Caenorhabditis elegans: one gene and its partners. The gene in region 1 interacts genetically with each later gene. Each region holds a gene or a part of one and is shown on either strand. Other genes may lie near its edges. The genes, in order: bar-1, hmp-2, lin-3 and cdk-12.

Region 1 (7,027 bases):
GCAACATTCCACTGCGTCTTATTCTTTTCTTCAAAATTGATAATATGTATCATTATCATGTGTTAAAATTTTCATTTCTCGCAATCTTTACTTATCATCTTTTTAGAAACCCAACTTTGGAATATTGACGCCTGTATTGAAAAATTGGTGAAGGATTGAAAAATTTCAGTTAAAAAAAGTTATTTTTTTATGAGATCCTTTTTGCAATAGTCATAAATAACACACATTGCAAGTTAAAATAACTTTTGAGGTTAAAAATGTTTTTTTTTAGCACAAGACGGAAGCACTGATTTTTTAAATATTCCAATTTCCTGTAAGATTTTGAAATGTTAAATGATGTCTTTATGAAAGATTGCTCATAAGGAGAACACTGTTATCAGTAAACCCCCGACATGGAGCACCCGTTGCAACACTTTTCTCCATTTCTTAAACAAACTATTCTTCTTTTATTGCTTTTTCTCGACGTAATTTCACTTTTTTCCGGTTGTAAAATAATAATATATTATAAGTTTTTACAACTTAAAAAATAAATTGAGCAAAAACTTTTTCAGAATAGTATGAAAGATAGTTAATTCATTAATATAATTTTTAAGTTGTAGTCTTTATGACATTGTGTACATAACAAGTAAATGCAATTTGTCTGTGAAAGTGTTTAAATGTACAAACAATAGGCAACTCATACCCACTAAATGAGTCATTAACGTGTCCTTCAAAAAATCAAAGTTCATAGTATTGGAAAACAGGATAAAAAGTCATATTAATGATGATGCTTTTCTTCAGCGGAAATAAAAAAAAACCTTTTCAAAAGTGTATCATGAAAATTAGCAATTGATCCATTGCATGAAACAATAAAAAAAACATAATTTATAGTAGTGAACTCCAATAAAATTATAATAAATAACAATCAAAGTTTTGCTTAAATAATTTGAATGCCAGAAACTTAGCCTGAAAGAAAATTAACTTTTTTTTATCATTCACAGTTTGCAATTTTATCCTGCAATTTGAAAGTTAACACAATTTTTAAAAATTATTTTTAAGGTTGTACTCTTGGTTATTCTAATTTGCCATGATTAACACTTTCCTATTGACCAAACTTTTGTCTAAAATGAATAATCCTGATAACGATTCTGTCTAACGGAAACCAAATGATGGCTTGTTTGATTTTCCACTAGAAACCTTTTGAAAAACAGCAAATCTGGGTCGTTATGCTGATATGATATAAATGAATAAGAAAATAAAGAAGAATAAAAATGAAGGACTTGATAAATAAGAGTCGACTAATTATCCCAACTGATAATTTACGACTAAGCTATCCCATTTCTATTTTCTCTCCCAGCCTTCCCAGTTCTCCTCCCAAATACATCCTTATCAAAGTTGTTTCCCCCGTCTTTCCCGTTTGTTCATTTCAAACCCACAACTGATGACTGTGTGCCTTCTCGTTTCACCACAGATAATCATTATTATTGAAACATACCTCTAAATTTTATTAGCCAATTTCACACCTTTGGCTGCTCACTCACTGATAGGTGATTGAAAGCACGAAAGAAAATGGGTTGAATAATGCGAGCGGGACGGGCAAGGGGATGGGAATGATTGGGGGTGAAATAGAAGCCATCTGATATCAATAGCCCTTTACTCTAGGTTAGGTACAAACCGCTCATTTCTATTATTGCTTTTTCTTCATTACACAAGCCTTAGACTCTCTATCTCACTATTTCACCGCCCCATCACCACACACTCTTTCTTGTGCCCAGCAGGAAGATTTGTAATGTTTTCAAACATTTTGTTCATTCAGTTTTTTCACTGCTTTTTCCTATTTTTTCTCTTCATCCGGCAGACAAATCGTTTTTCTTGTTCGAATTGATTCATAAAAAAATATTTGGCTTTTTTTTTCAGAAAACTGGGATGGACCTGGATCCGAACCTAGTTATTAACCATGACGACACAAATTTATCAGAGGCATCTTTTACAATGTAAGTTTTTTTGATTGAACGAGCCTGCAAATTTGAGGAAAAGAAACAATTTATTTTGATGTTGGGAGTTATCAAAAAAAAAATTTTAAAACTGTTTTAAAATATTTTTTACAGGGAGCAACACACCTCGAGCTATTCGGATATACACATGGGCTCAACGCCCTGCACCGGCCACCGCAAGGTGGATATGTGGCGGAATCACAACTTTGATAGCGGTTTCCAAACAATGAATCACAGTGAGGTACGAGAAAACAGAGGAGAGATAGACACACACACACAACAAAGATTAATGTGTTTCAATTTCAGGCTCCATCTATTATATCATCTCTACATCCGTCATCGCATCTTTCCGGAATGTCATCCATGGCCGACTATGAGCCGATCCCCACTCTTTCAGATCAAGTAAGACCATTTCATATCAAAATGCGCTGGTGGACAAAATTGTTATTTTTCTTCCAGCAAAAACAAAAGTTTGATGGGATCACGCAAAATCAAGCGGATGGGCAGTATAACACAGTTCGAGCAATTCCAGAACTCACTATGCTTATGAAAGATCAGGATAATGTAAGATTTTTTTGTTCAAAACTTTTTTGAAATATTCATACTCATAATTTCACAATATATGAATTAAAAAAATCCTCGGTTTTGACCTATTTTTTATATTTTAATTATATTCAAACATCTTGTATTCCAACATGCAACAATGCTCGAAATGTTACAAATTTTTGGAAAACTTAGCAACTTATCAGAACTGTGACTGAAATTTTTGAAAAAAAAACTTTAAAAAATTAGAAACGTATGTCTACTATTACTATTATTACTATTACTATTACTATTACTACTATTACTGGACTACTATTATTTCATTTAGGTATAATATGATGTTAATTGATTTTTAACTTTCAATTACTCAAAATAAATTATCAAATCTACAGTAAGAAAAATATTTAGTCGAATTTATTCACTTAAATTTTCAAATCACAAAATCTGAAATTAAACTATGAACTTTTGATTTCAGTACTGATATTAACACAAAGATAAATTGGTTCTAATGCTGCTTACTGATGAAGCCGGTGTTTGAACTTTTGATTGTTTGTAACATTTAAAATCGATTATCAAAATTGAAGTATCTGGAAAAAATTTAAAAAAATTGATTGTTCTGCTGAAAAAAACATTATTCAAACAAAAATCTTACAGGAGGTTGTGCACAAAGCTGTAATTCTGATGCAAAATATTGCGAAGATGGAGTGTGACCCAATGCGACGGCAAAATGAAGCTCGAATTGTGGACCCCCGTGTTATATTTACACTGCGTGATCTTCTCCGTGACAAAGTTGAATTCCCGGTATAGCTTGTGCACTTGCACAGTTTAATACATCATATATTTTCAGAACATCATTCGTTGCACTTTGGGAACATTCTTCCACATTTGCAACCGACAGGAAGGAATTGATCTTGTCACTCGAGCGATCGCAGAACAACCTGATATAATTCCAAATCTTATTAGGCATATTGGGTAAGAAAGTTAAATTTCAGAAAAAAATCATTCAAATAGCTGTTACAGTACTTATCCAAGTTCAATATACAAATATGCCATTCTTACTATGCATTCGATTCTGTCCGATAAGCAGAGAGGCGGACAAAGTGTGATCATTGCGCGTCAACAAGATGCGATTACTGTAAGATTAAAGAAGAAAAAAAATTGAAAAAAAAAAATTTACAAAAAATTGCAGCATGTGACTCCGTGGTTAGAAGCGGAGAAATCAGAAAAACTTCTTCCAGTGATAGTTGACTTGATCAGAGTTTTGTGTGAAAAGAACACCGAACAGAAAATCAAGTTTGTGAAAATGGGAGGACCTCAAAAACTGCTCATGCTACTACAACACAGAGTTTATGAAAATTTGCTTTGGCGAACTACGCAACTTTTGAAAACATTTTCGAACTTTGTAAGAAATATTTGAAACTGAAGGATGTAATGTCTGAACTTTTCCAGGACGCTCCAAATCTTGTTGCTTTTGGTGGTCGCCAAATTCTCGCCAATCTTCTTTCACATGGTAGTCCGCGACTTGTACAATCAACCCTTGAAACTTTGCGAAATATAAGTGACGTACCAAGCAAAATAAAAGAAGATTTACTTTTGAAATCTCTTCTGGAGCTGGTCAATTCTCGAAATACAACAATCCGTCTATATTCTGCTCAGATAATGTCAAATCTAGTTGCAAACAACAGGCATAACAAGGTGCTTTTGTCAGAAATCAAGATATAGTATTAATTTTAATTCCAGGAGTTTATGTGTGGCAACAATGGGGTTGTCATTCTTGTGAGAGCTTTAACAATTGCCACCAAAGAGATGGGTGACTTGAGAGATAAAGAAGCACAGCAAATGGAGGATTATATTGTAATAACATTTAAATTTCAAAGCTTAACAATACGGTTTTCAGGAAAGCCTAATTTGCACGCTACGGCATCTCTGTGTTGGACATCCAATGTCAGATAAGGTCCAAGCATTTGTTTTCCGAGATCCTGCATTATTTCTACACAAATTGTTAACAATGAGACCAGTATTGCTGAAACACACATTGAGTGTAAGTCATTAATTTGAAGGGCTAATAAGAAATTGAGATTTAATTTAGCTCCTGCTGAAAGTTGTATCCCAACATGCCCTTCTTGCTCCATTCCGATCATGCCGAATTGGAGATAAAGGTTTTGTTGAGCAACTCATTCATATTTTGAGAGTGGCATGTACCCAGCTGAATGTGGTAAGTAAAAAGTCAACAAACCGACTAATAATTGTTGGATTTCAAGCAAGAATCTATCGAAGGTGTCCGCGTGAAAGATATCATTCATCTTTGTATTCAAATCCTGCGATGGATTACAAGAGACCAGGACATTCTCAACGAGGTATTAATGTTTTCAGGTTGAAAACCCAAATTTCAATTTATAGGTTGTTTTCTTCCTGCAAACTCCTGAAAATAGCCGAATGGGCGATGGTCATACTCTTCCAATTTTTGTATTACAAAAAGCCAACGTTGAAGAGAACACGAAATCATCGGCTCTGGCCTTGATTTATAATTTGATGCATCATGAGCAAATGGCAAACGTACTTGACAGAGATGACGTTCTTGTTAAAATGCTTCAAAATGTTCAAATGCAATCTCAAACTCACCCTGAATTAGGTAACGTTGCACACCAATAGACAAGTAGAACTGAAAATTTACAGCAAGTCTAGCAAATAATATTCTCAAGATGATGTATGAGAAGCGAGAAAAGACAAGGAATACTCTTCCAAGATACAATTCATATTTAGAGGTAACACAAAATGGGGGATAACTCTAAGAAAAAGTCAGTATTACAGAGCCAATTTGGTCACATGAGCATGACCACCCCACGAAGCGAAGCACTAAATAGTAGCGGTGAAGTGTGTGAGGGAGCTGGAGAGCAATGGTCTACACCTTTAACAGATGATACTATGATGGATTCGTATTGCAACAGCTCCGGACGAGATTCATCAAGTAAGATATAAGATGACAATTTAATTTGCTCTAGGAAGCTAATCAAATTTAACAAATAACTTTCGGCCATTTTGACATTTGCCGGATGTCAAAATTTTGAAGATGTCTTTAGAAAAGCAGTTTAAAATATAAGCTCAACAAAGATATATGTTCGATAATTTTCAAAGCTTCGGCAACACGATTGTTCGTTGCCGAAAACTTCCCGAAGTTTTTATATATTGCCAACTTTGATAAACGCAGGATTCCAAAGATTCTATCTACATACATAGTTTTGCTTACCATTGTGAGAGCGAAAAAAAAACTTAGGAAAATTGTTATAGATGTAATTTTTCAACTTTTTTAAAATAACAATCAAAATTTGACAATTATTCATTTTACATAGTTACCCATTTTTTGGAAGTAAAAATTGTTTAAATGTGAAATGAAGGTTTTTAATTAACGTATTTGCTCTATAAGTGGGGGTGCCAAAACTTTTTGAAAGAATACATATATTTCGTAATATTTTATTTCGGCTGTATGATTGTTTTGTTTTTTTCTTAAGATTATTTTACTAAACTTTTCACTGACGCTACTCCACCTTCGAATTGGATTGAGACAATATACTATTAAAGAAACTATGAACCTAGAACCAAAAACAAATATTTCTTCAGAACCATACAACTCACCAATGTACCATTCCCCACCAGCAATGTATCCAGAATACTCAATTGGACCTCCCGAGACGTACTTGGATCCCCATGCCACAGCATCTTGTTATCCGCGACCAACGCCTCCTCAATATAACAGCTATGACCGTAGTCCACCAGTTTACAACGACCTTCCATCAAACCCTGGTCCGAGTAGTCATTCGTCTGATTATTATCCTTCTAGGAATAGTCGATTTTAATTTTTTAATTATAACATAGACCCCCACACTTTCCACCACCCCAGTCGGATATTTGTTGCACATTCCTTGAAAATGAGATTCTAATTATTTGTATACGGGTTCATGAATTGGCATGCAAAATATGTTGAATAAAGTGAATTTTTATTGAATTTCAATTTCAGAAAGTGTGTCAGATAAGAAAATTTTTATAAAAATAACAACTATTATTTACAAATTATGAATTCCAGATTCAGAGTGTAGTTTTTGCATGCCAAAACAAATTCATTTACGTCATTTGATTCATTTCGTAGTAGATACCCTTCAAGTTGATAAGCTGCTCATGGCTACCTTCCTCGGCAATTTCTCCATGAACAATAACGTATATTTTGTCGACGTTTCGAATTGTTGATAAACGATGAGCGACTGGAAAAAAAACATTTTTCCCGTTAGAGATTTGCCAATTCTCGTGACGTACTGGCTGAGAGTTTAAACCGCATTAAATATTACTTTTCAGTTTCAATATACTAATTCTTACTTTGAATACACGTGCATTGAGTCTTCGTACTCCTCTTGACTCGTTCAAAAGCGTTTTGAACTTCTCTCTCGCTGGCGCTATCCAATGCCGATGTTGCCTCATCTAACAGTAGAACAGTTGGTTTTCTGATAATTGCACGGGCA
Region 2 (6,233 bases), on another chromosome or scaffold:
TGAAAATTTCCTTTTTTTTTACTGTTACAATACCTATTTCGTAAATTATATATATATATATATATATATCTCGTTATCTCTCCTTATATTATTTAATCCCAACATTGTATTCAGTTTCATTGGCTTAGCAAGTTTTCGATTGAAAATTTTTTTTTTCAGCCAAATACCGATTTTTCATATTTTTTTCGCATTTTTGATTGATGTTTCTGTGATTATTGGTTTTCCTATGTTGTTTTAAAAGGGTTTGTAATGTATCTTCGCTGAAATGTTTGTTTCATATTCAAAAACGGCAATGTTTCCACTTTCCCACTCGGTATCTTTTAGTTTTCAGGCTGCAGCTTCAAAAAATTGAAAATGGCGAAAATTTTAGGGTGGAATTTGTTTTCTTTTTTTTTTTCATATTTTACATAATACTATTTTCGTAATTTATTTTTTTCCCTCAAAATGTGCATGATGCGTTAAATTTTTTTTGGCATAGACTTCGCGTCCCAAATGGCGAGTAATAATTATTGAGAAGGAAAACTGTGTGCGAGCCCTTTGCAAAATGTGTGCGCACCACTTGCGGTATGCCTCATCGTGTGACTCCGCCCACATTTTCTTTTGTTTCCATTTTCTCTTTTCCCCTCAATTTATCGATTTTTATCCACTTTTTGTTTTTCACATTTAGAATTGAGTATTTCATCGCTATTCTGGTTGTTTGCGTTAAAGTTTGTCGTTCAAAATCGAAATTTTCGTTAAAAATCAAGGTTTTTATTTCAGAATGACTGAAGTCGTAAATGCCGACAAAATAAAAACGATTCGCGCGTACTACAAGCTGTGCCAAAAGCCGGAGAATCGAGCAGTCGTGCTTAAGGTAAGTCGTTAGCTCACTCAGGATTCACATGAAAATTAAATTTCTTCCAGGACAAAACATTTTTCCACACTCTCCCAACGCTCCTCAAGGACGAAAGCTCCGATGTCATCAGATACACGGTTAAAATCCTCGTTTTGCTCACAGAGCAGTCGGGGAACATCGAGCAACTGCTGAAATCCGCAGATTTACTTCCAGCATTGTCGGAAGCCTGCGAAAATATCACAAATCCCAGTGTCAACTATAACTTGGTCCTTGTCTCGAGTAGGATTCGAGTAGTGAAGAATTCGCTGGATGCCAAAAGAGCCGAGAAAGAGCCTCTAGCCGATGCGATCAAAGAGCTCGACAAGGGCGGAACTCTTCACCGAAAATTCGTTGGAAGAAAGTCAAAGCAGATTATTATGGAATTCGATGCGGAGGAATTCGATGAAACGAAGAAGCTGTCAGTTGAGAGAGGCCTTCTGAAGAAAAAAGGAGTAATCAGTGTATATATAACCGAGCAGAACTCAATTCCACGCGCCGTGCTCCGCACAATCCCGACAATCGAAGCCAAGGACATTGCGCAGTCCGTTTTCGCCGCCGCCGGATTCGAGTACGTCGCGCAGTTAGTGAAAGTGAACGGAATCGACGAGAAATTCGAGTTTTACGCGTCAGAGATGGGCAAAATCACGGAAAACTCGAAAGATTACCCCGAATATTTGGATGATGATGTGCTTCACGTGGATCCGGCAAGTTGTGTGATAACTAATGAGATGGCTGCCCATGGAAGTGGTCAAGAGGGCGGATGGTTCAGTTCGATCACTTCATTCGTCAAAACTTCCCTCTGGTGATGGAAGGAATTCTCGGATTATCTCGGAAAATCTCGAAAAAAAATGTATTAAAGTACTACGGTTTCTTCTTTGTTATCTCAATATTTTCTTTTTTCTCCTGTTTCTCGTTTTTTTTGAGATCTCTTTCTGGTATTATCACCGCACAGGCATATAAATCGTTTCACACTGGTTTTTAAATCCTCGTATTCTTGATTTTTATGTGTTTTTAAGCTGTTTTAACCAGCTCTAATTATCTATTCGGCAGTTTCAGATTCGAAAAATGCGATTATTCTCATATTTGGACGGTTGCGGTACCAAAAATAGAGGAATTTATCGGTATAAAATATCCTTAAAAATCCAAAGTCCTAGTGAAAATCTTGTTTTTGCGTTTTCATCTAGTTTCCGATTCGAAAAAACCCATTTTTCTAAATTTTCTACCTGAAACCACGTATTTTGACAGTTGCAACACCAAAAATAGAATAATTTTCCTTTAAAATCGCCACAGAAGCACAAATTCCAAGTGATAATCTTTATTTTGCGTTTTCAGCTAGTTTCCGATTCAAAAAATGCGATTTTTCTCGATTTTCTACCTGAAACCTCGTATTTTGACGATTGCAGTATCAAAATAGTGGAATGTTTTTCAAAATAGCCATAAAAGTAAAAATTCCTTTTTAGCTAGTATCTGATTCGAAAAATGCGATTATTCCTCAATTTTCAACTAGAAATCCTATTTTTTTTTAAATTTTCTACTCTAAATTTCGATTTTTCGCACTTTTCCACTCGAAATAAATTTATTAAATTTAAATTTAATTTTAAAAAAATCTTAGTTTTTGTGGATTTTTCCTGTTTAAAATGACTTTTCTCTGCTCCCACATGAAATTTGATAGTTTCAGCACCTAAAATATCGAATTTCTTTGCATTTTCTCGTCTAAAACTCACCATTTCCTTTAAAAAGTATAATTTTCAGTAGCTGTGAACTCCCAACAACCATGCTTCTTCACTCTACCAACTCTTATTCGATATTCACTGGTAAAACACAAAAAAATACAATTTTTTCGAAATTTCTTCATTTAAATTAATTTCCAGACCATGAAGTCGAAACTCGAACCTCTAGAATCCGCTCAGCGATGTTCCCCGACTGGATTCCACCAACTTCTGCTGCAGAAGCCACAAATTCAACTACAAGCATCGTCGAAATGATGCAAATGCCAACTCAACAGCTGAAGCAATCAGTTATGGATCTTCTAACCTACGAAGGATCAAACGATATGTCAGGACTCTCGCTTCCGGATCTAGTGAAGCTTATGTGCGATCATGATGAGTCAGTGGTTGCTAGAGCTGTTCATCGAGCTTATATGCTCTCAAGGGAAGATCCGAACTTCTTCAATGCGCCGGGATTCGATCATCGATCTTTTGTGGAAGCTCTGATGGCTGCGTCGAAGAGTTCCAACGTGAATGTCCGTCGGAATGCGATTGGAGCATTGTCTCACATGTCTGAGCAACGTGGAGGACCTCTTCTGATCTTCAGAAGCGGAGGGCTTGCTGAAATCATTCGAATGCTCTATGATTCACTGGAATCAGTTGTTCACTATGCTGTGACAACACTTCGGAACCTTCTGATGCATGTTTCTGATTCCAGAGCTCAAGCGAGAGCTCTCAACGCCGTTGAGGCGCTAACTCCGCACCTTCATAAGACGAATCCGAAGCTGCTGGCTCAAGTGGCGGATGGGTTGTATTTCCTGTTGATCGGTAAGGATTCACTGGAAAAATCAAGAATTTTGTACAAATTTGCATTTTTTAAAGCTATAAATTCAAATTTTCCACTCTAAAATTTCAAAAATCGGTCAATTTTGCAGACGATGCTCCATCGAAGATCACATTCCTATCACTGTTGGGACCACAGATCTTGGTTTCGATTCTTCGCGAGTACTCGGATCATCGGAAGCTCATCTATACCGTCGTCCGTTGCATTCGATCCCTGTCCGTTTGTCCGAGCAACAAACCGGCGTTGATCAGTCTTGGTACATGGATGTTTTGATTAAAAACTATTTTATATCGCATTTTTAGAGATATTTTCAGGTTTTTATCCACTGAAAAGCTGGAAATTTGAGATTTTTAGCTGAAAATACTTGAAATTCGCAGCTATTTCGAGTGTTTTGAAGCAATTTTTAAACATTTTCCTTTATCTTTCACGAAATTCCAACAAATTTCAAAATTTTTGTTCCGGTGGTTCAAAGTTTCGCTGAAACCTCCAATTTTACCCTCTTTCAGCAGGAAATTACTTTGAAATTGCGCGTTTTTTGAGAATTTTCCAATAAAAAAGTTCAGAAATTTAAACTTTTCAATATTAATTTTTTCTAGGCTGCCTTCCTGCTCTCTACGTGGAGCTCTGCACCGCAAAAGACGAGCGATCCCAGACGGCGATTCTAGTGGCGATGAGAAATCTGTCGGATTCTGCGACAAACGAGGAAAATCTCACTCAACTGATCATCAAGCTTCTCGAAATCATTCGTGTCGCCAACGATGGAATGACTGCCTGCGCGTGTGGAACATTGAGCAATCTCACCTGCAATAACACTAGAAACAAGCAAACCGTGTGTTCTCACGGGGGAATCGATGCTCTCGTCACCGCGATCCGCCGACTACCTGAAGTTGAAGAAGTCACCGAACCGGCTCTCTGTGCTCTTCGGCACTGTACTGCCAGGCACTCACTGGCTGAAGAAGCTCAAAGTGAGCTGAGATTCTGTCAAGCATTCCCAGTGATTTTGGATCAGCTGGAAACTCTTCGTACTCCAGTTATCAAGGCAGCTCTCGGAGTTATTAGAAATAGTGCACTTCTTCAAACAAATCTTATCGAGTTGACACAAGAACAAACTGCAAATGGGCATACAGCTGTGTCACTGACAATGGATATCTTGAGAAGAGCTATCACGGCGATTGAGGAGAATCCTGATATTGCTGTAGATGGAGTTCCAATGTGGGGAGTCATCGAAGGAGCTGTCTCGGCTCTTCATCAGCTCGCGAATCATCCGGCAGTCGCTGCAGCATGCTGTGATGATATTGGACAAGTCGGAAATCCAGAATGTCCACCATTCTTGGATCTTCTCCATCGTCTTCTGGCTCATCCGAGACTCGGATCCATGGATGATGAAGTTCTCGAACGCGAGATTCTTGGGCTTCTCTATCAGTTGAGCAAGCGGCCAGACGGAGCCCGTGCTGTTGAGAGTACTGGAGTTAGTGCTCTTTTAATGGAATCTCGTGGCTCACAGTACAAATCAGTCGTCACTTATGCGAATGGAGTGTTGAGTAATTTGAAGAGAGGAGATTCAGCTGCCATCATGAATATGTCTAATGTGAGGAATTAGGAAAAAAAATAAATTTTCCGTAAAAAAACCGAAAAATCGAAAGAAAACTTTTGAGCCACCACGGATTTAAGATATTGTGGGATTCCGGATCGTTGAAAAAATGTGTTCTATGTGTTGGCACGGTGATCCGGAAATGGTAGATCTAGAATCCCACCGGATCTTGAATCCGTGGGGCCTCAAAGTTTTTTAAAAATTCAATGTTTTAATGAAATATTGTCCATATGGACAAATGTTGATGAGAAAAACCATATAATTTTGTTCTAAAAACAAGGAAAATAGTTCAAATTTTCAGCTTTTTTTCGAAAAATAGAAAAAAAAATTTCAACATAAATTTCCGATTTTCGAGCGAGCCATTCATGAATTAATTCCGAATTTTCAGTCGTACGACTACGAGATGAGTGGAAGTGCTGCGGATTGGCAACGTGATGGGCTGGAACGAGAGCTTTTCGCTGAAATGTATCCGACAAACGACGGCGGACACTCGGAATCCATTAATATGGCGTTGAACAACTCACAAATGCGCCCTAATCACAATTGGTACGATACCGATTTGTAATTAATTTATCTTCTCGTATTTTTGCATTTTTTACACATAATCTGCTGAATATATCCACTGGGAATTATTATTCATGGTTTTAAATTTAATTTTTGATACTTTCAATATATTTATATTATAAATGTAATTTTATACTTCCTACTATCTAATGTTATACGTATCTTTTTTTTGGTTCTTCGGTTCCTTTTTCCTATATTTTTTCAAAAAAAAAATTTCAGACAATTTAAACGAAAAATTTCCAGATGAGTATCTGCCTTGAAAAGCAGAAAATCCGATGCGGAATGATAAGCCGGACGGCTCGACACATTGCCATCGATGAGAATAGTGGAAAAATGGCAATTGTGAGGAAATCTAGGTTTGTACGGAGGATTTATTGGAAAAAATGATTTTTGAAATTAAAAATTAAAGGTGGAGTAGAGTCAAAACAAATTTTTTGCTTAAAATGACAGAAAATATACCCAAATAACCGATTATAACTGAAAAAATGTTCTAAATTTTTTATGATTTTTCAATTTTTCAAAAATTGAATTCCCGCGAAAATAAGTGACGTAATTTGTTTATATTCTCGCGTTTTCTGGCTAAATTCTTTGGTTTTTCTTGATTTTTCTTACACATATTTAGTTTTAAACTCTGTTTCTCAAATTTTCAGGTAC
Region 3 (7,793 bases), on another chromosome or scaffold:
GCTCTTACTGTTTCTATTTGTCTCCTCGCTTCTCTACAAACTTGCTGACTGGCTGACTCATAAAGTCTTAGAATCTTCTGAAAACTGGAATAGGAAGAACCAGAAGTAGTGTCAAAGTTGAAAAGATCCGATTTCATGTGAAAAAGGAATACGCCGTATTTCTGATACACTTTAATGTTTCCTCCAGTTTTCCCAAATAGTCTCGTTTTCATTCCTGATAAATAGGCAAAATGCAAACAGTGATTGCTCATCGAGTTGTTTTTTTATATTGGAATTCCCTAGATTCTGAAAATTGTTGCTAACACAAGAACATTTATCTCTCGAAATTGAGGAATTGTTTGCAAAGTGGACATTGATTAACATATTTTATAATTTATCTCAACTCATCCGTATCCATACTTCCATCAGATCCATGTTCGACATTTTCTTGTTTGTTCAGTGTTACAGTAACCTGGAAGATTCCGAAAATATTATAGGAACAAACAAAATTCCCAATTTTAAAATATACGTGGAATCGTTCCCCACGGCCAATTAGCACCGCCCACGAATCATGGGTCTCGTTAGGTATTTAGCGGAAAACCCGTAAATTCAGAGTTTTTAAATTACTTTTACCGATTTTGTCAATTTTTAAAAATTTATTTTACTTTCTTTGTATTGATTTTCATTTGGAAATTAATGAAATAAAGTTCATAAACAAATTTTTTTAAAACTTATTCACTTTTCAACATTACACGAATTTTCAAAAAATTATTTCGGCTTATAAATAATCAAAAACAACATAAAAAATAACAAAAATTGGCAAAACTAATTGAAAACGCTTGAATTTACGGATTTTCCACCAAATACCTAGCGAGACCCATGGGTTGTGGGCGGAGCGTTTCAACGTCGATTCTAAAATGACTGTCTTTCTGAATCCCCATAATAATAGAAAAGATTAAATTTAAAATATGTTGTAGTTATTTTTTCACCATCAAAATAGATCACTGCGCATCTTCTCTATTTGCTCTCTTCTCGAACCGCCCATCGTTGACTGACTCATGCCACTGAAAAGTACCACCAAGAAGCCACTGATTTTCCCAGGGTCAAAGCTAACCTCTTTTCGATTTCTTTTCATAACTTTTTTGTTTCGCAATAATTACTCTTCCGATCAACAGTTAGCTTCCCACTTCTCCCGATCTTTCTCTAACAGTTAGCTGATCTACTACTAGACTGTACGATTTTCTCTGTTTTCTCTGATGTTTCTTTGTTATTTTTTGCTCTCAGCTAACATTCCTTGTATAAAACTGTGATATTAATATCAGTTAAGAAATACAGTTAGTGCGGTAGCCAGAAAGTTCATGTGAATCATCATGGCCATCAGAGTCTCTGAGTTTTATAAATTTATATATTTTTGGGATATTTTTTGAAAGAAAGAATTACGGTAGCCGGAATCAATTTTCTTGAATTCCAAAGAGCGTGCACCTTTAAGGAGTACTGTAGTTACCAACCCTGTATTGTTGGGATATTTTTATCAGATTTTTCACAATTTTTACCTGTTTCTTTCATTAAAACCATCAATTTTTTTTGAAGAAATTCAACAATAAGGAGTTGGTAACTACAGTACTCCTTAAAGGTACACGCTCTTTGGAATTCAAGAAAATCGGCCGGTTCGAGACCGGGTACCGTAAAAAAATTTCGCATTCTTTGCACAATATTTCCTTATGTTTCTCTTTAAAAATTTAAAAAATTCCCAATTTTTTTAAATTTTAATTTTCAGAATAACGGATCGTCGGCTTGTCGGTGTTCTTCCCACCCCTTATGCATCAATTTTTCCTGTTTCATAAGGTATTTCAATTAAATTTCTCAACAATTATCCAAAAAAAAAAATTATTTCAGATATCGTCGCCCACAAGTTTCCAAAATGCGGAAAATGCTACTTTTTTGCATCCTTCTACTCTTTATGCCTCAATTTACAGGTAATTTTTCATTTAAAAAAAATGATGTTCTACTTGGAATTGAACGTCACACCTCTTAAAACATATTGAACGGATCGAATGATATTTGACACTACAACCACATGTGTGTTCGTGTTCTACACATTTTTTGTCTAGTGCACTAAACATTGTCATATGGAATAAAAATCGCCACAAACGACTATGAGAAAAGATTGGTTCAGGAGCAGGGAATTTTTTTTCGAAAACGAAAATGAAAAATTTAGTTTGAAACGATATTTTGACCGAAATCGCACTATTTATGTTCACAATTTCCAGTGTGATTCTTTGGAAAGTTGTAAAATTTAAACATTTATAATTTTTCAGTATATCAGCATTTTTCGCTTAATTTTTTTTCCAAAAAATCGAAAAATAAATTTTCCACCAAATACACGAAAAATCTACAGCCCTGTTCAGGCATTTTCTCGATTTTTGCTCTAAAAATACGGTACTGGGTCTCGACACGAAAAGTTTTTATTAAATGCATGTGCGCCTTTAAAGAGTACTGTAATTTCAAACTCCCGTTTTTGCCGAATTTTTAAAACTGGTTTCCGATAAAAAATTGTCTGTTTATTCAAAAACAACTATAAAAGCACACCAATTTTAACAAATCGTAAGAAAAACTTTAAAAAATTGATTAAATTTCCGCAGCAACGAAATTTTGTAATTACAGTACTCTTCAAAGGCGCTCATCTATTTACATTAAATAAATATTGTCGTGTCGAGACCACGGACCGTATTTTTGGGGCGAAAATTGCAAAATTTTGCGTCTGGCGAATAGCCGTATTTTGTGATAATTTCCGTTTACCCGGTTGCAAATTGAAGAGGTCATACAGCAATGCACAGTAGGTGATCGTAAATATTCAAGTACCCGCCAACACCGCCAAAATGTTGTATGCACCCCCTCATAAACACCCTTGACAATACTACCATCGGTATTTATTTCACCTATATTGGCAGCAATCTACGAGTTTACCACCAACTATGTACATACCAGTTATTACATATTCGAATTTAAATGGTCCCTTGAATGGTTTGTCATTAATTATTGTAGATTTTTAAAGAAATCAGGCAATTTGATAAATTGACAAAAAAATGTAGATGTCGAGAACAATAATCACAATACAAATTCAAAAAAAGACTAACAACCAATCTACAGTAGTCTAGAAACAAAGAAATAAAATCGTACTTTTTTTATTCTTCAAGTTTCTTTCCGTGGATCCTTGAGCTTCTGTACTTTCAAAATTCTAGAACTTCCCGTCTCTCCCTATTCAATGCACCTGTGTATTTTATGCTGGTTTTTTCTTGTGACCCTGAAAACTGTACACACAGGTGTTCTTACCAATGTCTCAGGCATTTTTGGAAAAGTAATATTAAGAAAATTATACATATTTTCTTGAATACGAAAAATTTAAATGTTCGGTAAATCGATTCCTGAACGACTTCTAGTCGCATTTGGTATGTCTATAATATCAAAACAAAGATTATTATTTTCCATTCAAATATCAATAAAAGTTTCAGAATCGTGTCTCCCTTCGTGGTTTCGTCAAGAACGTAGTGCTCCCGAACAGCTTCAATCTGCAGAGAATGCAGCTGAAAATAGTGGCTCTGTACCACCCGATACTTCTCGAAATTCTCTAGAAACAAACGAAATAGGTGATGCACCGTCGTCGACTTCGACACCTGAAACACCTACTGAAACTACGATTTCCGAAGCTGGAGACGATGAAAAACGAACTGAAGAGGTTGCAAAAGAATTAAGTAATACTTAAATGTATAGAGAAAATCTCAGAAATTTGTTTTTTTCAGTCGAGAAAGAAGCAGAATATGAGGGTGAATATGAAGATGAAAAGGTTGATGAAGAAGTAGAAGAAGCGTTAAAATATAATGAAGATGCCACTCAAGATGCCACGTCGACTCTTAAACCGGCGGTTCGGAAGGAAATCGAGAAGTTGAAAGAAGCAAAATGCAAAGGTAGCCATTTGATTAGGTCTGAAAAACCTTTTGAGTTTTCGTTCCATTTTTCAGATTTCTCGGTTTTCGGGAAAAACCAACCCTTTTTTTAGTTATTTCAACAAACAGTTTTTGAAAATCTAAAAAATTGAAAAACTGAAAAAAGTTGGAAATAATGTATGTTTAAAAAAACGAGAAAACTAGGTTTCTTAAAAACATGTCAATTTTTATGCGAAAATGTATTTTATAAAATAGGAAAATTACCGAACATTTTGAATTTTCAAAAAAAAAAACCAACAAAAAATTGAAAGTTTTTGATTTTTAGTTTTTTCAAAAATTTAAATTTAAAAACGATTTTCGATTTCAAATGAATGAATTTTTCGATTATTTCGATTTTCAAAAAATAGAAAAAGTTTTCGACGACATCTTTCCATGATTCTTGCTTGTTGAAATAATTAAAAACGGGTGTTTTTTTCCGAAAATCGACACCCTTGCAAATGGATTTATGCAATTGGAGTTCTTTAATAGATTAATGAATTCAGTCTAAAATCTTGAAAAAAAATAATTTTCAGACTACTGTCATCACAACGCGACATGCCACGTGGAAGTGATATTCCGTGAAGATAGAGTTTCAGCAGTTGTTCCTTCTTGCCAGTAAGTCTGGAAACAATTATGAGCAAGTACAGTAATCCTTTTTGCAGTTGTCCACAGGGTTGGGAAGGCACTCGTTGTGATCGTCACTACGTTCAGGCGTTCTATGCCCCAATCAACGGCAGATATAATGTACGTTTGAGCACGATGAGCAGCACGGCGCAACTCCTCGTTCAAGTAATTATAATCTCTCATCTAAACAAAAAAAATTAACAAAAATACCCTTATTGTGAAACCCTAATTAAGTTGCATGTAGCATGTTCTCATCTAATTATTTTTTGGTTTGTTTGCGGTGATGGTTTTCTATGAGAAACATATCATTTTTGTAAATTATTTCTAGGGAAAAACGAAAAAACCATTAATTTTTATGGTTCATCATCCAAATCAAACGATTTCTACAACGCCTTCCAGTCAAGATTCTGAAATTTCTTCTATTTTCAGTGGGCTTTATGAGAGAATTGTGGTGAGAATATAAATTATATAATGGGCTTGATGTCCACATTATTCGTCAATCTAGAATATTCGAAATATGAAAAAAATTAAATTTTAAAATGCTGCATTTGCTCATACTTTTTTTCAGCAATCTTCAACATCAGCTATTCCTGCGTTCGCATTTCTCATTGTCATGCTCATCATGTTTATAACAATTGTTGTTTATGCTTATAGAAGGTATACTTTTCATCAAAAATTTGAAGTCTTGGTAAATTTTCGGTTTTTTTTCTCAGAAAAAATTTCAGGATATTATGAAATTTTGTTCATTTTGATGAGAAAAAACCTTAGAAAATAGCATTTTTCTAAAAGGAGAAAAATGACCGATAAATTGATTTTTTTTTGAAATATTGAAATATCTGAAGAACGAAAAATTGGAAAACGAAAAATTTCGATTTTCAAGTTTAAAAAAATCGAAAAAAATTTGCATACAAAAATGCAATGTTTCGAAAAATATATTTGAATTTTGGCCAGTTTATTCTTTTCTCCTCTCTTCAGAAGAAAATTATGTTAGGAAAATTGTTTTCTAATCAACACACAGCTTAATAATATTTTGAAATTGTTGTTAATTTTCTAAGCATCTTTTTTTAAAGATTTTCGAACATTTTAATGTAAATTGTTCAAAAACAACTATATAAATGTTTCAGAATGTCTAAACGATCGGATGATATGACATATACAATGAGTCATATGTGCCCACCAGAAGCATTCAATGTCCTCAAAACACCAAATGGACGACATATTCCAGTTCATCAAATTCCATCATGTTCTTATACTATCCCAACACCGGGTACAGTACCTCCAAATATATCATCAACTCCTGGATCAAGAATACCCACTCGTCAACAAGCTATTCGAAATAATGAACAAGCACGGAACAACTTTTTCAGCATTCTCAGAAGTCAAGGTACCATTCCATCCAGGTATCAAAATTCTGAAAATTCATTTTCAAAATAAAATGAACTTTCAGGAGTATCAATGACGACGACACGCCGAAGCACTACAAGTCAGTGCCACGTGTTGAAGTTTCAGCAATTAATTACTCTGGCCACATTGATTTTTCAACAGTATCATATCAGTCGGTCAGTTTTTCGATTTTCATGGATTTTTTGAAAATAAATTAATCGCACATTTCAGACTGAATCAGAAGTTTCAAAAGCATCAGTAACATGTCCACCACCGGCGCACACTGTAATTAATATCGAGTTGGATTCTGCAGATACGGTAATTATTGTTTTTAAAAACTAAGAATCGAGGTGATATTACTCAAATGCGATTTTTTCCACGACAAATTTTTGTTGAATGTGGAGTTGTGTCGTTTTGAATGCACTTCAAATGATAAAAATAGACCTCAATGAACAGATATAACTGTTAAAAAACTTTACGAAAGTTTTTTAAATCTTTAATGATTTTTTGGATTTTGCAAAAACTAAAAAAAGGCTAATTATTTTTGAATTACCGCGCAAATGATGGAATGATTTCTGGAAAATATTTTCTAATTTTTCAATATTTGATGTAAACACCGTTTGTCAATTTTTCAGACAATTTCCCGTAAACTTGAAATAACCCCCGAAAGAAATTCGTTGAAATTACTAGTTTGGCAAAAATATCGATAATTTAACTTAAATTAATATTTTTTGCGCGGAGAATTGTCTGAAAAATTGAGAAACAGTAATTCAAATCAAATATTGAAAAAAAAAATTGAGAAAAACCAACGAATTTATTCATAAAAGTGAAAATGTCGAATCCAGGTTAGTCGCAAATTCAAAAATAATTATCCCTCAAATGTTTTTTCATTACTTTTTTAGCAGTTATATCTGTTTATTACGGTCCTTTTTCATTTAGATCACATTTTTAAAAATGACTGTACTCCGCCTTTAACTGCAAGCGGAATTGCGCCTTTAAAGATTACTGTCTTTTGCAACCCCTCGTTGCTACGAAATTTTCATTGATTATAATACAATACATTTTTCGGGTTACATCCATTTGTTTATTTTTTGGAAAATGATTACAGTAATCTTAAAAGACGCAGTTCAACCTGGTATCGTATTATTTGTGCAAAAATCGCAAAATCTAACCTCTGAATAATAAAATGATTACTCATTTGAAAGTTTCAGAATTTTCGATCCCCGTCTCGAAGTTCTGGAGAACAAGGATCACCAGCAACATGTGAACCAATGATTCGACACACATGAAATTATAATTTGTTTCCTTATTTTGTCTTATCTTTTTCTTTTTTCATCAACTTCTCTGTGCTATAATTGTGATTTACCACTGCTCAAACATCTCTGGTCTCTTCAAATTTTTTCGCTTTCTCTTTTTTCCTCTATTTTCATATCGTTCTACATGTTTTATAGATTGCATTTGGCACCCTATTATATCCCACCCAAATGTTCTATAGTTCTCTCACTCTCCCTCTCAGTTCCTGTGACAATTTGTATAATTTTGCCAGTTCAACTCCTCGATTTCCAACGGGTACAATATTTGCATCGTTTTTGTAATTTCCTTTGATCCCTAGTCTCTTCAGGTCCTCGTTGAAAAAACTAAACATTTATTTCATGTTTTTATTAATGGAAAATTGAGAAAAATCATATAGAAAAAATATATATTTAGATAGTCAATAAAATCCAGGAAGTTTGCACTTTTTACTGGCATTTTTCCTTCTCTCCGTGAACCTTGATGTCGAGGGTGACGTAGGTCATGTCGTAGGTTCCTCCGATCTTGTCCTCT
Region 4 (4,725 bases), on another chromosome or scaffold:
GGATAGACAATAACGGAATATTGAGAGAATTCGAGAGACGTAGTGAATTCGGAGGATTTTTAGGAATTGAGATGATGAGGAGGAAAAGTTGATGGAAAAGAATATGTTTGAAGTAGGCAAGAGAGAGGTAATTTGGAAAATAAGTAGTCTCGAAAATGTTGGAAAGGTTTTTTGAAAAGTTGAATATCCAAAACTTCCAGACAATTTGAGGAAGCGTACTAGCAGCATCAGATCGCCTATCTCAAACAGTATAACGGCCATTCGATGATGTATGTACCCTAAGAATGATTGTATCCTCTGAACAAAAAATCGCTCGGTGTACCCTATGTCGATGTACCCTTGGATCATGGGCCGTTAGAAATATTACCCAGTTTCGGAATTGTCAATATTTTCATCCAGAATAACGGTACCCGGTCTCGAAACGATCAAAACTTCGTAGCTACCGTACCCGTTAGCTACAACTTGAAACAAAAAACGAGTTTCAATATGGATCTTGATATTACCGAAATGCAAAAATTTACGTTTTTTGCGCCAAAAATACGGCGTCGGCAAGACTTTTCGCCGATTTTTGATGATTTTTCTGCTGATTTGTTACAATTAGTGTATTTAATTTTTTTTTTCAATAAATACATATATTTTTAACTAAAAAACTATTAAACAATCGATGAAAGTCCCGCAGCAACAAGTTTCGAACTACAGTATTCTTTGAAGAAGCATACGCATTATCATTGCGTTTGACAAAAATGTGTCGTGTCGAGATCGAGTACCGTATTTTCGGGACGAAAATCACATTATTTCGCTACTGGGTAATACAAATTTAAAATTTTTGTTCAAAAAAGAGAAAAAAATTGCAAAATACTTTTAGGGACGGTAGCATTGAAGTTTCGATCGTTTTGAGACCTGGTAGTATTTAGTTTTCCGCCAAAAAATTCACATTTAGCTAATAAGATATGTTCTTAAAATGATCATTTTTGATTAATACATGCTTTACCAAAGTTTAAAAAAATCCAACGTGACCCGGCGCAATTGCTCAAAGAGCCATTCTTGATTTGACTGCAGGTTAATTTCAGGCCAGCTTTAATCCGAATAATAATCAGCTGAAAGCTCCCGTGATCCAACTCTTTCTGCGATCCATTCTGTATACAAAGTTGGGACACCTGAAACATCTCATTCCGAGGTTCTAAAAAAGTATTTTTCAAATTTGTATTATTACACTAACTTTCAATATTCCTTCTTCGAGCAGTTTTGCACGATAAAGCTACAATAAATTGACTATTCTCGAGCTCTTAATCGATAATTTAAATTTTTCTATGAGATTGCAGTTATTTAATTGTTCAGAGCAAATTCCAGCATCAGTTTTACTAGTTTTTCTCCTGAAAATGAAGAAAATCTAGAAAAACTCGACATAAGCGCCACCCACTGAAGGAAAGAGTGTGCAAATGTGAGAGAGACGAGAGAAAGAAAATGCAAGCGCCGCACGGTTTTCGTAGGCGGGGCCAATCAATTTCGATGCCATCCGACTTTTTTCTCTTTTTTCCTTTCTTTTTTAATATTTTATTGATATTTTAAGAATAAAAACTTAAAAAAATCTAAATATCCTGCGAAATAACAAATTTAGTTCAAAATCCCATAATATTTTCTCATTAAATTCATTAGCCAACGTGAGAAAAATGCACTTGTGTTTATTGATTGAAACTGTTTTCCTGTAATCGCATGATTTCAGTTGGTTTCATACGAAAGTTCAGACCAAATTCGACGCATATTGCTGCCGGATAGAAGAATAGCGTTGTAAGTTCATGATTATTTATTTTTGAAAAGGATTTAACAAATTGTTAGCCTGTCAAATTCGAATTTTTGCAGATTCAATGAGTTTCGACTCGTCGACTGACGGCTCGAATTTGGCAAACAGTGATCGATCGAATAGTAGTTGTTATCCTTCCAAACAAGACGGTCAGTCTTCGAAACAACCAAGAAATCCAATTGAACTCCAGTTTTCTTCCTTCGCTTCCAGTTTCATGTTCTAACATTATATTTCAATATTTTGTCGTCGTTGTGTCGTTTATTTTTTTTTGTTTTCTCATATTTAATCTCAAATCTTTAATATTCTTATCATTTTCAGCCATGGAAATATCGCCAGGTTCTTCGACACACGAGAGAGATCGAAAAGGTTCCTATGGACATCGGGAACGAACTCGCAGTCACAGTGGATCGCCTTCCAGATTTTATTCAAAAGACAAAAGAGGAAGTTCGAGACAAGGTGTGAGACCGAGAGATCGAGACTCGAAAGATTCAATTTCTCCACAGTACAAGCAAAGGTACTTTTTCCAGATATTAATTGAAAATTGGATTCTTCAATTAAAAATGCTGTAGCAGAGTTAAAGTTATTATCGGAAAATTGCGTCATTCGCATGATTTTTTGGCTGTATAGTCTCAAAATATGCTCAAATGAACTAATTTCGTAATAAGACATCTCAACATTTTTATGGCGGTTCAAAATTTCGAAAAAATGACGAGATTTTAGCTAAAATCTCCAACTTCGCCAACTTTTTCGTGACGCAACTGTCGGAAAACTTTTATCGATTTATCATTCCTTATTGCATATTTTGGTGATTTATCTTCCGTTTTTCATTGATTAAAGTAAATTTAAAGTTGAAAGGTAACCAATTCCGGCGATTTTTGGTTACCTACGGGCTTTAAATGTTGCCTAATCAACAAAATAATATGAGATAAACTACCGAAAAATGAAAGCTAATATCCGACCGCTGCGACTGGGAAAAGTGGTCAAAATTGGAGATTTTAGCTAAAATTTTAACTTTTTCCAAAAAAGTTGTAAAAGGTGAGCTAGTTTCAGGAATTGGTCCCGAGGCGGTGGCGGTGGTGGTCGCGACCGTGGACGAAACGATTTCAGCTATCGAAAGAAAGGCAAAGACTACAACAAACGACGAGATAAACGAAGCCGTAGTCGAAGCAGGCATCGATCACCGAAACGAAGTGGATCTTCGAAGAAAAGCAAAAGGAGAAATTCGTCCGGATCGTCGTCATCTGATCTGTAAGTTTGGATTAAAATCGATAATTTGTAGAGCAAGCGATGGAATCATAAAAAGATAAACTTGCCTGCTAATATCCCAATAGTTTTCTCGCAAATATTCGAATAATAGTCGCCAGGATTGCCATACATTGTCTGACTCAGAGAGGAAGGCGGGGCGCTGAACTGATGGTGTTTTCGCTGTGCTGGGGTGTGACTCCTCCCTTTTCTGACTTGTGCCAAATCACATACTCTGATCACTGGATCATTTCTACTACAAAGCTCGAAATGTTCTGACTGTGTGTGGTGCGGTTTTGTATTTGAAGTTTTAATCCAACCAGTCGGAATCCTGAGGAGCTTCCAGATAGAACATAGTTTATGAATCGCTGCACACCTTGTTCTAGTTGATAAAATTCTTTAGCATTTTCAATTGAAAAGCGCTACTTGATTACATTTTACGAATCCGTTCAACTTCATCCCAATCTAAAAAGACGTCACGTGTTCAATACACGAGCTTCTCTGGTGGCAAACTGTCAGTAACTAGCACTACTTTTCATAAGATCTACGTTGAGATATATTCCAATTAATTTTACTATAGCAGCTTTAAGCTAACTGAAATATCTGACCATTTGCACAAACCTACCGTATTCTGACCATTTTCTTTCCCATAACATTTCACTTTTTTAAAAGGGGAAAGTGTGAGGCAGGTGTCCCTGAAGGTCACCAATTGCAACGGGTTTTCAATAAGCATCGGTTTTAAAATGGGCAAAAAATGGAGAATGAGGCTCACGCTATGGCTATTGATATTAATATCAATTCTGTGGCGACCAGGCTATTCTCTCCATTCCCCGACTACATTGTTTTCTCTCTACGTCCATTTTTATCATCTCGTTGATTCGTTTTTTGCAAGAACTGATAGCCATCTCGAACTGGATCAACAATTGAACTAGGTCATTAACAACAAATCTTCTATTATATTGTTCATCTTGCAACATTTGATAGTTTGGAATCAGAGGTTTATAGAATATTATAATTCTGAATGTTTCAATGTGTCCTCTCACAGACGGGTGATTCATTCTTGTTTTACAAGCTTCCAAACCGTATGATCAATTTTTCCGAATCCGCTGATTTAATCATTTAACGTTCGAAGACTAAATGAGAAACTCACCGATACCTGTGTGATAGAAAGCTTATTCAATACCAAAATCGGCAAGTCCATTCAACTGGTCGATTTACATTCCGCCCGTCAATTTGCACTCTCATCGTATGCCCATTCCTCATCCAATTGTCTATTTCCTCGTGTCCTTTTTCCACCACAAAAATATCCATAAAAAAGAAAAAAATGAAGAAGATGCCACAACCACCAAAACATTCGGTTCCTGTGCAATTGAGACGTAGAGAACACGACGAAACGACCCTTTCTTCACTTTTTCCCCCACTCCTTCTCCATCGTTGCGCACACCCTTTGAGTCTGTTTGGGTCCCCGTTTCTCTGCATTCCTATCTCTCTGTCACTTCCAACCAGCGCCATCGGTGAATGAAGCTTGACGGCGGCGCCGTCCCCTTCGTTTTCCATCAGACTGCGTCTCTCCGTCGCCTCGTAATATCTCGGCATCTGAAATTTCTACGTCTCTCTCACACTGTTAGCTTCACCGTTGTCCATTCTTCTTTCGATCTCTCCTGTCAACGGGTGCCCCCTCC

What was found.
Region 2: of bar-1 (region 1) and hmp-2, changing one enhances a phenotype caused by changing the other (phenotypic enhancement), as found in Caenorhabditis elegans (2 studies listed by BioGRID, with this or other methods).
Region 3: of bar-1 (region 1) and lin-3, changing one enhances a phenotype caused by changing the other (phenotypic enhancement), as found in Caenorhabditis elegans (2 studies listed by BioGRID, with this or other methods).
Region 4: of bar-1 (region 1) and cdk-12, changing one enhances a phenotype caused by changing the other (phenotypic enhancement), as found in Caenorhabditis elegans (2 studies listed by BioGRID, with this or other methods).

The regions. Positions count from the first base shown.
Region 1 is NC_003284.9:7,165,495-7,172,521, reverse strand, and holds bar-1 (Beta-catenin/armadillo-related protein 1), read left to right. Parts: upstream 1-1,896; 5' UTR 1,897-1,905; coding exon 1,906-1,973; intron 1,974-2,087; coding exon 2,088-2,214; intron 2,215-2,279; coding exon 2,280-2,375; intron 2,376-2,432; coding exon 2,433-2,537; intron 2,538-3,170; coding exon 3,171-3,317; intron 3,318-3,363; coding exon 3,364-3,488; intron 3,489-3,536; coding exon 3,537-3,651; intron 3,652-3,705; coding exon 3,706-3,918; intron 3,919-3,965; coding exon 3,966-4,211; intron 4,212-4,256; coding exon 4,257-4,370; intron 4,371-4,413; coding exon 4,414-4,557; intron 4,558-4,605; coding exon 4,606-4,731; intron 4,732-4,777; coding exon 4,778-4,873; intron 4,874-4,916; coding exon 4,917-5,148; intron 5,149-5,192; coding exon 5,193-5,281; intron 5,282-5,327; coding exon 5,328-5,484; intron 5,485-6,134; coding exon 6,135-6,370; 3' UTR 6,371-6,517; downstream 6,518-7,027. Other genes in the region: pgp-10 (P-GlycoProtein related), read right to left, coding at 6,636-6,772, 6,885-7,027.
Region 2 is NC_003279.8:14,736,943-14,743,175, forward strand, and holds hmp-2 (Armadillo/beta-catenin-like repeat protein), read left to right. Parts: upstream 1-1,939; coding exon 1,940-1,995; intron 1,996-2,626; coding exon 2,627-2,688; intron 2,689-2,745; coding exon 2,746-3,408; intron 3,409-3,515; coding exon 3,516-3,680; intron 3,681-4,020; coding exon 4,021-5,012; intron 5,013-5,403; coding exon 5,404-5,580; 3' UTR 5,581-5,714; downstream 5,715-6,233. Other genes in the region: K05C4.7 (Armadillo repeat-containing protein 1), read left to right, coding at 761-853, 904-1,680; K05C4.5 (WD_REPEATS_REGION domain-containing protein), read left to right, coding at 5,823-5,935. UniProt on the Caenorhabditis elegans protein: Required for cell migration during body enclosure and cell shape changes during body elongation. Plays a role in recruitment of the cadherin protein hmr-1 to adherens junctions.
Region 3 is NC_003282.8:11,055,914-11,063,706, forward strand, and holds lin-3 (Protein lin-3), read left to right. Parts: upstream 1-1,900; coding exon 1,901-1,955; intron 1,956-3,385; coding exon of another isoform or gene 3,386-3,428; intron 3,429-3,485; coding exon of another isoform or gene 3,486-3,491; coding exon 3,492-3,731; intron 3,732-3,779; coding exon 3,780-3,944; intron 3,945-4,495; coding exon 4,496-4,577; intron 4,578-4,624; coding exon 4,625-4,751; intron 4,752-4,914; coding exon 4,915-5,037; intron 5,038-5,154; coding exon 5,155-5,243; intron 5,244-5,710; coding exon 5,711-5,986; intron 5,987-6,033; coding exon 6,034-6,145; intron 6,146-6,200; coding exon 6,201-6,287; intron 6,288-7,180; coding exon 7,181-7,258; downstream 7,259-7,793. Other genes in the region: ttr-16 (Transthyretin-like protein 16), read right to left, coding at 7,709-7,793.
Region 4 is NC_003281.10:4,331,275-4,335,999, forward strand, and holds the start of cdk-12 (Cyclin-dependent kinase 12), read left to right. Parts: upstream 1-1,717; 5' UTR 1,718-1,788; intron 1,789-1,860; 5' UTR 1,861-1,950; intron 1,951-2,119; 5' UTR 2,120-2,121; coding exon 2,122-2,315; intron 2,316-2,851; coding exon 2,852-3,049; intron 3,050-4,725. UniProt on the Caenorhabditis elegans protein: Cyclin-dependent kinase which displays CTD kinase activity: hyperphosphorylates 'Ser-2' in the C-terminal heptapeptide repeat domain (CTD) of the largest RNA polymerase II subunit, thereby acting as a key regulator of transcription elongation.